Pelodiscus sinensis: one gene and its partners. The main gene of each other region encodes a partner of the protein of the gene in region 3 in a complex. Links are inferred from orthologs where the notes say so. Each region holds a gene or a part of one and is shown on either strand. Other genes may lie near its edges. The genes, in order: POLR2H, RRN3 and TAF1B.

What was found.
Region 1: TAF1B (region 3) and POLR2H share a complex: the UniProt entries of both Homo sapiens proteins name them as parts of the pol I pre-initiation complex. The link is inferred for Pelodiscus sinensis from reciprocal best matches to the Homo sapiens genes TAF1B and POLR2H.
Region 2: TAF1B (region 3) and RRN3 share a complex: the UniProt entries of both Homo sapiens proteins name them as parts of the pol I pre-initiation complex. The link is inferred for Pelodiscus sinensis from reciprocal best matches to the Homo sapiens genes TAF1B and RRN3.

Annotation. Positions count from the first base shown.
Region 1 is NC_134720.1:48,355,399-48,359,142, reverse strand, and holds the start of POLR2H (DNA-directed RNA polymerases I, II, and III subunit RPABC3), read right to left. Parts: upstream 2,437-3,744; 5' UTR 2,297-2,436; coding exon 2,224-2,296; intron 1,760-2,223; coding exon 1,676-1,759; intron 683-1,675; coding exon 589-682; intron 1-588. Other genes in the region: major facilitator superfamily domain-containing protein 8-like, read left to right, coding at 3,245-3,320. UniProt on the Homo sapiens protein: DNA-dependent RNA polymerase catalyzes the transcription of DNA into RNA using the four ribonucleoside triphosphates as substrates.
Region 2 is NC_134726.1:17,932,800-17,936,543, forward strand, and holds the start of RRN3 (RNA polymerase I-specific transcription initiation factor RRN3), read left to right. Parts: upstream 1-1,019; 5' UTR 1,020-1,213; intron 1,214-1,494; 5' UTR 1,495-1,503; coding exon 1,504-1,596; intron 1,597-3,744. UniProt on the Homo sapiens protein: Required for efficient transcription initiation by RNA polymerase I (Pol I). Required for the formation of the competent pre-initiation complex (PIC).
Region 3 is NC_134713.1:27,654,871-27,658,614, reverse strand, and holds the start of TAF1B (TATA box-binding protein-associated factor RNA polymerase I subunit B), read left to right. Parts: upstream 1-1,224; 5' UTR 1,225-1,680; coding exon 1,681-1,698; intron 1,699-3,744. UniProt on the Homo sapiens protein: Component of RNA polymerase I core factor complex that acts as a GTF2B/TFIIB-like factor and plays a key role in multiple steps during transcription initiation such as pre-initiation complex (PIC) assembly and postpolymerase recruitment events in polymerase I (Pol I) transcription.

The DNA of each region.
Region 1 (3,744 bases), on a different chromosome or scaffold from region 3:
CATAAGCACAGTCTGGCCTCTACCTCCACAGCACTAAGTGAAGCTTGAAGGCACGTGCAATCCGGCCTTACAGCACCACCAATAGCCACAGCTAGCTCAAGCAACCCCCGGCGAATATGGAGGAGCTACAGAACCAGGGCCGCCAAGAACAGATAGGGGCTGCTCAGATACAGCAGTGACGAGGACTGTCTAATTACGGATAAGAGAGTTTAGAAACCAAAAACTCAACAGGACAGATAAAAGTGAAAGATGACAAGGAAAACAGAGAAAATGAACGGCGGCCGACAAGAGAGCAGAGCGCGGGCACAAAAGCAAAAGCGGCAAACGTGCGAGGAGACAGCAGTGCCCACTTGCCGACTGACCACAGTGGGAATCTGCCAGACAAAGGCTGGGAACCAAGGGCTGCTCTGGTTAGCCCCTTCTCCCTGGTGTTTAAAGGCCAACGTGATCAGACAGGGATGCTGACCCAGGGCAGCTCCCCAGCTCCACGCTTTCCCCACTTTCTTTACCCCTCCGTTCACTGACCTCAGCCTGCATGAGACACTACTGAATTCTTGAGCTACTCCCTGCCAGATGCTGCCCCGTTACCTGGACGGCCTGTCATCGGTGGGGTTATACTCCCCATCATCCAGGGTCCCATCTTCATACAAGGTGCTGGCAATAACCAGACGGAATTTGTCACCTGCAATACCCAACAGAGAGCAGGTGAAAGGCACGCTCCCAAGGAGGCCAGCTGGGCACAGGAAGTATGATCCCACACAGGGGCTACGTCGCCACCGGCAGCTTCTGTTCTTGCGCAAAAACTTGCCTGCTGTCTACACTGCACGCGCGTTCTTGCGCAAGTAAATTTACAGTACAGCGTTGTAAAACAGGGCTTCTGCCGGCAGAGTTATTCCGCTCCCCACGAGGAATAAGCCCTCTTGCGCAAGAGCTCTTCCACAAGAGGGCAGTGTAGCCGGGCCACATGAATTTCTTGCACAGGAAGCCCCTATGGTTAAAATGGCCATCAGAGCTTTCTTGCGCAAGACAGCGTCCACACTGCCATGGATGCTCTTGCGCAAAAGCACATGCCAGTGTAGACGCGCTCTTGTGGAAGACTTTTTGTGCAAGAACTCTTCCGCAAAACAGTTCTTGCACAAGAAGCTGCCGGTGTAGACGTAGCCAGGAAGGAACTCCGAAACCAAAGCACACAAGGCATACAGGCTGCATCTTACTGCAACGGTGCTTGATGGCAAAGAGAAGCAAGCCACCTGTGAACTGGCTCCTCGCCCCGATCTGCACAGTCACTCAGGCACACAGTATTCAGGGCTCCCAGCTCCAAGGAAGGGCAATCAGGGCATTCAACAGCACATCCAAGTGCCAGGTGATGCGCTCTGAGTAGCATGATCCCTAGAGGTCATGGAGCTGTCAGGCAGGTGAAGTGCTTCCCCTCACATCACAGCTGCATGTGACCACTGGATCTAATTGAAGGCCTCGTTCCTTCAGAACAGCAGCATGCAGACAGGGGCTTACTGCACTTTAAATCACACAGCCTTTTCCTTAATTAAACTTCATACCCTGGGTAGACAAGCCCATAGTGTTATGGGCACTTCCGCCAGCAGCTGGCTCTAGCTCAGCAGGGGCTGCCTGATACAAGGATTATCTGTTGCCAGCCTGAGGGCCCCCTACTACGTACCCAGGTCCACGGGGTAGATCTGTATGTTCACATCCAGGATTAGGTCCATCTTGAAAGACTCACTTTCACAATGCAGGCGGGAAACTGGGAGAGAAGGAGCAGAACCAGTGACCCGGGACGCAGTTTCGGTTCACGTTCACACCCAGATCTTGGGGGAGGGAGGTTTGGACCTGTTTATTCAAGGGCCTTGCTCCCGACCCAGCCCCAGATCCGTGGGGCGCTATGGGGCCCGGCCCCAGATCCGTGGGGGGGAGGGGGCGCTATGGGGCCCGGCCCCAGATCCGTGGGGGGGAGGGGGCGCTATGGGGCCCGGCCCCAGATCCGTGGGGGGGAGGGGGCGCTATGGGGCCCGGCCCCAGATCCGTGGGGGGGAGGGGGCGCTATGGGGCCCGGCCCCAGATCCGTGGGCGGGAGGGGGCGCTATGGGGCCCGGCCCCAGATCCGTGGGGGGGAGGGGGCGCTATGGGGCCCGGCCCCAGATCCGTGGGGGGGAGGGGGCGCTATGGGGCCCGGCCCCCTGGACCTGGGGGGGGGGGGCGCTGACTCACCCCGGTCGAATTTCTTGCCCTCGGGGTCGATGTCCTTCACGTCGAAGATGTCCTCGAAGAGGATCCCGGCCATGGCGCGCGGCGGGCGCAGGGGCTCGGGGCCGGCGGACCCTCACTTCCGGCCAGGCGCCCGCTAGAGCCCACGCGGCGCCGCCATGTCAGTGCGGGGCGGAAGCACTCCCCCGGCCCGGCTCTACGCCGCGCATGCGCACAGGCTCCCTCCCGTCTGTTGGGCGCTCGCAGCCCCGCCCCGCCCCCTGGTGTCCCGGACGCCTGGGTTCCCTCCCCGGCTGCTCCCAGCACCTGCGGGCAGCGCCTGTCGGGGTGTCCGGGGCCCCGTCCCATAGACCCGCCCCCAATCCCGTCCCCCCGCAAAGCCCGGCCCCCGCGACCCTACACAAACACCCAGGGCGAGGCCCATCCCCGCACTGCCCGTGGGGGGGCTCTCCCGATCTCCCGGGGGGGGGGGGGGACAGGTGATTAGGTGGGGGAGGGGCGCCCATTGGTCCCAGGGCTGGGGGGAGGGGCGCCCTTCAGGCCCCGGGCTGGGCCCCATAACCACCCGCCCCCCCCTTCGGGTACCTGCTGCACGCGGGGCTGCGCTGCGCTCCCAGGCAGGTGCGGCGTCAGCTGCCAGCCCAGCCCCTCCCTCTGCTTGGGCCCTGCTGGGCCAGTGACTCCTCCATCCCCGCCTGCCCTGCCGTCCCGGGGCAGGGAGCGCCCCCGGGGGACGAGAGGAGCCAGGTGTCCCTTGGCCTGGCTGGCTCCCGCCCAGAAACGCTGCCCCTGCGGCCGGGGGGAGGAGCCGGTGCACCGACGGATCCTTGCGGAGGCTGCGTGGGAAGCCGCGGGGCCGGGGCAGGTGGGGGTCCCTAGCCATGTGCACCGGAAGGCTGCCCGGCTAGGCACCTGGGCTCTGCGCAGCAGCGATGGCCCCTGGCGGCAGAGACGCCGCAGCCGGGTTCTGAGTCTTGCAAGGAGCCGCCACCTCCACCGCGGCGGGAGGAACCCGGCAGGATCTATGGAGTATCAGAGGAAGAAGAAACTGACCAATTGCACCATTGGGCTCCTCTTCCTGTCGGGAGGGATCGAGTATGGTGAGCGCTGGGGCCAGGGGTGGAGGCGATACCCTGCCAATAGGGCTGCCAAGCCTCCAGGATTAGCTTGGAGGGAGTCTCCTTTAAGTCAAGATTATGGCCTATGAGGAAATCTCCAGGAATAGGTGACGGGCAAGGTTGCCTGGGCCCTGAGTGTTAGAGCCAACTCCAGAGGCCTCTGCTGTCTTTGGGGCTCCCATGGAGCTGCTGTGCCAATGTCCATGAGTGACACACCCTGGTTTGTGTTCCATGGGGGGGTTATGAATTTTCATATCTGACCCCCATTGCCATAGTGTCAAAGCCTTGTGGATGTTAATCGACCTTCTGGACCGGATCAGTCTCCGTCTCATCATGTCTCAGATGGGAAACGGAGGTGGGGTTAACCAGTTTGCCTGAAGTCAGGCCACAAGTTGATGGCAGAGCT
Region 2 (3,744 bases), on a different chromosome or scaffold from region 3:
TTCCATATGGGACTTAGGCACTTACCTGCCACTTTAGGCACCTAAATTCTAGAATCAGGCAGCACTGGTGTTTACAAACCCCTATCTTAGCTGCCACTTTGTGAATCTAGCCTAGTTTGACTTAAGTGAGGCAGAAGGCAGGGAGTGGAGGCAGGTACTGGTCTCATCTTCCTCAAGAGACTACAGGCAGTCCCTGGGTTACATACAAGATAGGGATGTAGGTTTGTTCTTAAGTTGAATCTGTATGTAAGTCGGAACTGGCGTCCAGATTCAGCCGCTGCTGAAACTGATCATTTTCAACAGCAGCTGAATCTGGATGCCAGTTCTGACTTACATACAGATTCAACTTAAGAACCTCAGGCGTCCCCAAGTCAGCTGCTGCTGAAACTGATCAGAGGCTGATTCCAGGAAGCCCAGGGCAGGGGTTTCCTGTAGTCAGCACTGGTCAGTTTCAGCAGCGGCTGACTTGGGGACGCCTGGGGCAGAGCAGCTGGGGCGCTGCTGGGTTGGTCCTGAGCTGCTCTGCCCCAGGCGTCCTGATTCAGCCGCTGCTCTGGCACCCCCATCGCCCCTACACCCTGAGCGCTCGCCGTGGAGCCCCGCCAAGATGAAGCCTTGCCCAGCGCCGCTGGTGCTCCCGGGGCCGCGGGCTACTTCGGGAGAACTTAGGCTGGTTGTGTCCGAGCCGCCGGCAGCCCAGGGAACGCGGAGCCCAGGGAAGGCGGAAAGGACGAGGGCGGGAGGGAGCCTAGAGAGCCGGAGCTCCGGAACCGCCCCTCCCCCGGCTGAGATCCCCTGGGCTGGGTGACGTTGCCGCTACTACCCTCGCAGCGGAGGAAGCCCTCGAGCCGGGCCGCAGGTGTTCGGCGCTGCCCGGCGCGACAGAGGCCGGGCGCCCCCCACTGCACACGCCCGGCTCCTCGCGCCAGTCCTCCAGGAGCAGCGAGAGCAGAGCTAGAGCAGAGCTCCGTTCCTGCCGGCGCGCGAGCCTCTCTATGGGTGCGGAGGCCTCGTTTTCACTTCCGGGAGGCCGCCCAGTCCTTTCCCGTCCCAAGGCAGCATGGAGGTGGCCGGCCCCGCGGCGCGAGCAGAGGGCGGCGCGTGGTGTCTGCTCAACGGCTAATTGAGACACCTCCCCCACCCCCGGCGGGGAGCGCTGCGGAGTTTCTCCCGCAAGCCTCTGCCCGGAGTCTGCGTGGGGCGGCCGGCGGAGGTGAGGCGCAGGGGAGCGGGCCGGAAGAAGCGTTTCTGCCCCTGTTCCTCTCCCTGCCCCGCTTGGGCTGTGTCTGTGCAGAACAGCGGGGGGCGCGAGGGGGGGCGGGTCGTGGTTTCCCGCTGTGGAAACGCGCGTGAGGCGTTCTCGTCTCCCCGACGCGTCCTTCGGCTGCTTTGCCGCCGTGTGACCTGCCTGACAGGCGGGAGCGATGCAAGAAATGTCGCAGCCCAGCTGCCGAGGTGCCTCCGTGCTGTGCTAATCTGTGTCTTGCCCTGTAGGCGCTTAACATGTTGGGAGGAGATGAGTTCATCAGTTCGCCCCCGAGAAAAACCGTCAGGTTCGGTGGGACGTTGACAGATGTCTTACAGAAATACCAAGAGGTGACGCTTGTTTACTTTGAACTTACTTACTCTTTACAGACTGTTTCTCAGCGTATTTAGGTGTTTATGCCAGTGTATTCATTTTAAGCAGGTGGAGTCAAGCTCTCTCTGATGCCAGTGTAATCCACACGCTTACTCAAGGTGGTGTGTCCTAGTGGCAGGTAGACTACTTACAGAGAGAAAGAATGAGGGTACTATACAACCTCAGCTGAGAGCCAGCTGGTTTTTAGCTCAAGCTGTGTAGAGGCTCATGCACTGAGCTCAAAAGTCCCAGGTTTGGTTCCACCTGTAGGTGTTACACTAGTACATGTCTCTTGATTTCAGAGGGGTTCTTCCAACTCTTCTTTCTCATTTGGGTATTTGGGCAAACCTGTGAATGCCTTGCATTCAACTCAACCTTATCTGTCTGTGATGTGATAGCTTGTGAATGTCACATCCAGTGAATTCCAAAATTTCAGTGAATGTTCTAGGGCTCAGTAGTGGCTGGAACCCTGTTGATTTTGGGGCAAATCAGAAAATGGAAAGGGGGAAACGGAGGGCTGTATGGAGCTCCTGCCCCTTGATTAACATAGCTTTGAGCTTCAATCCCCACTGTACTTATCTGTAGTGTATAGTTCTGTGGTCATCAACCAGTTGATCATGAGGCGTTACGGGCCCCCCATATCTCCCCACCCCAAAAAGCCTCATTACCTACCTCGAGAGACAATGGAGGTAGTGGCAGTTTCCTGCAGGCTGGACAGAAGTCCTGCAGTTGTGCGTCACTTCTGGGGGTTCCGGAAAAGCACTGGCTGCTTCCTTGCCCCAAGTCTGTGGTGTGCCAGGAACTTACCCGGTGAATCTCCAGAGGCGCACGCTGGGACTTCCCTTCTCTGTGGGAGGGGGGAGTCGGGCCTGGAGGGGGTGCTTGATGGGGGCTTCCCTGCTCTGCGGGAGGCTCATGGCGGAGGTGCACAGTGGGGCTTCCTTCATCTGCGGGAGGGGGGGTTACCCTGAGGAGGCACGTGCATGGGCTTCCCTGCTCGGCCCCGGTGGAGACATGCGACAGGGCTTCCTTTCTCAGTGGGTGGGGAGGATTGGCCCCGAGGGGGCGCATGCGTGGGCTTCCCTGCTCTGCGGGAGGGGGGAATCGGGCCCAGAGGAGGCATGCGACAGGACTTCCCTCCTTTTGGAGGGGGAGGGGAATCCTGGGAGAAGGGGGGTTCAGGGGACTCTCTGTCTCCACTAGCACCCTGTCCCCTGCTGCAGAAACCTGTCCCCCGATTTCCTGGCACCCTGTTCTCTCTCCCCTGCCCCCCGCTGCAGAACCCACTATCACCCTTCCTCAGTACCATGTCCCCTGCTCCCACCAGAACAGTTGGGGCCACATTAGTGAGGCTTGTGGGGGTTTTGGAGGAGGGGTGGGTGTGTGTGTGTTTTCATTTCACTTGTGTGGCCCCAACTGACTTTTCTTTGGATCAGTGACCCCTGACTCGAAACAGGTTCCCTGCTCTTCTCATAAATAAAGACAATGCAGAAACTTTTTGTGTTTGACATAGTATTTTATTTAAAAATGAAGCCTGGTCAACAAACCCCCTGTTGGGGCCAAGCCCCCATCTGGCCACAGCATCATAATGCTTCTGCATGCCCCCTTCCCCCAGACCCTAGATCTGAGCCTGTCATACACTGGAACCCCCTGCCCTGAGCCCCTCACATACCCCAACCCAAATTCCTGAACCCTCACATCCACAAGCCTGTGGCTTGCTTAGTACCCTAACCTTACATCTGACTCCAACACTGCCTGGCCTGGAGCCTCTCCCCGAGACAGCGTCCCCTTTTCCACATCCTCCTCCATCCAGATTTCCTCCCAGAGCTTGCATCTCTCACTCCTTCCCGCAGCCAAATCCCTTATTCCCACCCCAGAGCCTACACATCCTGTCCCAACCCAGTGAGGGTATGGCTAGACTGCAGGAGTTTTTCAGGATTCTGGAGAGATCCCAGAAAAACTCTTCTGCATCCAGGGATGCATTTGTTCTTCCGCTTTTTTTAGTGGAAGAGCAAACATGCTCGTTAGGTCACCCCAATTTTTCCATGAGGAATAAGGGGGCTTCCAAAAGAAGGGGGTTTTCTGACATTTGGTCCAGTCTAGACAGGCCAAATGTTGGAAAAACC
Region 3 (3,744 bases):
TTTTGAACTCAAGGTCAGGTCAGGATTGTGATCTCCTGACCCTTCCCCCAATCTCCTCAACAAAACCCCCATTGCTCGCCGTGTTGTGTATCTAGCCTTGCTAAGTATCTACATAATTTTATTGCTATAACTTCTGCCCTTCTTTTCCTGACCCTTGTATACAGGAGTGCAATTGTAATTAACTAACTAACAAACAGGGATCAGATGGAACAAAATTAAAAGGGAGGAGGATCTGGGGTTTCTTCCCAGGAAAAAGCAAATAGCATTTTACATCCCTCAAGAACCACATTTCTTGCCCACATTCTCCCTCTTTCCTTTCATCCTCAGCTTCTGGAAGGCCTTCTTATGCCTCAAGAGCATCCCATAAAGCTCAGATTTCTGCTTAATTTCTTTGCACTCATGGTCTCCAGGAACTCTGCCCTCCCCAACATCTTTCCTCCTTTCCCCCTTTAGTACTCAAGAACTCCTTCTTACTCCCTATCAGTTCTGACCTCCCATCTCTGGGACTTGCTTGGGCTGCTGCTGGTACTTTCTGTGACCTGATTAGAGAGAAGATCTTTATGCCACAATTACTGGCTTGTGGCTTCTCTTTTGCACTTAGTACATTTTTGGGTGCTATGAAATAATTAGTATTTCTCATTAGTAAGAGCAGTAAGACTTTTCACTGTCTGATATGGTTCTGTGGTAATTGTAACAGCCACTCTATGACATGGACTTTTGAACATAATGACAAGCATTTCTTAGGTGGCTATAGATACCAATCCTTTGGCCTTGCATCAGATGGCTCTGCAAAAACATGTGATTTAGAACAGCTTATGGTATTGCTCAGACATTTAAAAAAACTAAAAAGTTTGTCAGAACAGTGTCCTGTATCAGGACATAAAACTGAGCCCTTGACCATTAAACAACTGATTTAAAACTAATAAACAAATATTTTTACATAATGCATAATTAACCTATGAGACTCATTAGCACAATATATCAGAGTCCAAGCTCTTAGTAGGATTTAAAAAAAATATTATTTATACATCTACATGGATAGGGACAACCATCACAGTTACATTATAGAAGGAAGATTATAAACTGTCATGGTTCAGGATATAAACTAATCACTAACTGGCAAAGACTAGGAAAAATTTCTCCTTCAGGTTGTACTATAATCGTTCTTCTGATGCATTTGGTAAAGTCTTAACTCTTTACGTTTCAAATATGAAATATCACCGAAACAAAGGTCTGTAATAAAAAAATAAAAGTGTGGTGCACATTCGGAGAGGGCGGATCTAGCTCCGCTGGTGCGTCTTGTAACAGGTGGACAGCAGCGAGGTGCTTCTCCGGGAGCTCAAGCAGCCAGGGCCACCAGCTTTCTGCCCTACAAGTCCCGGGCTCAGTCCTCAGCTGGCGAATAATGCAGCAGCTTCCGCCTCGGGCTGTGGCTCAGTCAAGTCCGCGGGGCAGATTCCCATCCAGGCTGAGCCCAGGGGATGCAAATCGGCGCCGCCTGCCCGCTGCCTCGGGGAAGGGGCGCACGAGGCGGGCGCTCCCTGGGGAGCTGAGTGGCCCTAGGACCCGGCCGGAACCCAAACGCGCGGCCCCGGTTCCTGGCCGGCTGCTCTTCCCCCGCGCGCTGCCGCCGGAGCGCGAGGCCCGAGGCAGCGGGTTTGAGGCGCGCGGGCCGCAGGCATGGAGGAGGAGGAAACGGTGAGACGCGGCCCGGAGCCGCCCGGTGCGGGGAGAGAGCGGGAAGCAGGGCGGGGGCGCGGGGGCGGGGTTAGGGAACGGGGGTTGGCGAAGGGCTGCGGGTGGTGTCTGGGCGGCAATGGGGGTTGTGGTGGGAGGGCGGATTGACATGGGATGGGCAATGGGGCGGGTATGAGCAATGGGGCCATTTTGAAGGTCGGGGTTTTTGCCCTGTTAACGGGCAGACAAGGATGGGGTAGGCTGGGCTGGGATTGTGGTGTGAGTGTAGGTAACAGGTGGCCAGAGAGCAGCAGCTGTTCCTGGGTGCCCAGTGCTGAGGCAGTGCCCCACCAGCAGCCATGCAGAAGAAAAGGCATCAATCCCATGCCATGTCACCCGTACTTCTGCGCTGCTGGTGATGGTGGCTCTGCTTTCAGAGCTCGGAGCCTGGTCAGCAACTGCCATTCTCCCGCTATCTTAGGCTCTGAAAACAGTGTTGCCACCAGCAGCAGTGCAGAAGTAAGGGTAGCAGTACTACAGTACTACTCCTTTTCCCCCAATACATTTGCAACCCCTGCTTCCCCACACACACATACACATCTCCTTTTTGGATCAGACCCTTTAGAATTACAACATGGTACAATTTCAGATTTAAATAGCTGATGTGACATTTACAATTTTTAAAGCCCTATGATGGCAAACTTGATCAAAATGGACAGTGAATTTGGTAGGTTTCTGCCTATGGTTCATTGAAATAACTTTGCATTTTGCGAGATGAAAGGACACTGACAGATTAAGGATCCACTGTGGGCAAATCAGTGCAAGTGACTTTTGGGGAGGAGGGTATCTATGATCCTGAACTGAATGGGTAATTAATGATTTAGCAGAACAAGTTAAGCTGATTTAAGAAATTTTAAAATCTGCAAACAGAATTTTACGATATTAAAAAATATTTCTCCCATCGATTCTCTCCCATGTCCTCATTCCTTCCATAACAGTGGTGGAAAAAAGGACCTCCGCAGGCTGGATGTGGCCTGCCAAGTGGGTTGATTCAGCCAGCAGAGGCCCTGCCACTCCCCCACCCCCAGGCCAATTAGGACCTGGGGGCAGGGGGGAGTATATGAAGTTTCCTTCGCCCTGACAGGAGTGCGCAACTCCTTGTAGGGTGGCAGGAGACTTCATACACTTCCTGCACCCCCAAGCCCTGATTGGTCTGGGGGCAGAAGAGGGAGCACGCAAAGTCTCCTCTCACTGTGAGGGGCATGGATACCTAGGGGGAACTTCGGGAGGGGGGGCAAAGGCGCTCTCCCATCCCCCTGGACCAATCATGGTCTATGGGTGGGAAAGCATCCTCTCTTCCTCCCCCCCCCCCCCCCCCCCCCGCTCCTTCTGCTCGAGGCCCCGCGCCTTCCGGTTTGGCCTGAGGCCACTTCAAAAATTTCTGAAGTGACCCCTGGCAAAAAATAATTGCCCACTGCTGATCCAGAATGAGACCTTACTTTTTAATTAATCTCTTTTTCTTGGGTGTCTCTAGTCACCTTTTATTCTTGCAGGCTTTCTTCCATTCCTTGTGTTCTCTAACTTTTTTTTTCTGGTGTACAGTTTACTAAAGTTTTCCTTCACTTCTTTTTTTGACTGTCAGCTAATATTCTCTTCCCTTCCTAATGTTTTGTTAATGTCCTGTAGTGTCAAGTATTCTAGGCATTAGGGATGTAAAATCCCATTTAATTAGTTAGGTGGTTAAGCATTAAGTTTAATCAGTTAACCGATTAAACGGGGCAGGTGGGCCCCCTGGGAGCTGAAGCAGCCTTCACTGGTTAACCATTAACAACCATGCTAGGCATAAGTTACATGGGTTTTCACCCTGTGATAGTGTTGCTGTGTACAGCAGTTAACACAGGTCAGGTAAAGAATTGGAAACATATATTAATTACAGTGATAGACCCAAGAATCTCGAATATATTTAGTTTAACAAAGAGAAGATTAAAGGGTAACTTGATCACAGTTTATAAGTATTTTTGTGGCGAACAAAAATGTGCTTCTGGGCTCCTCAGTTTAGTAGACAAA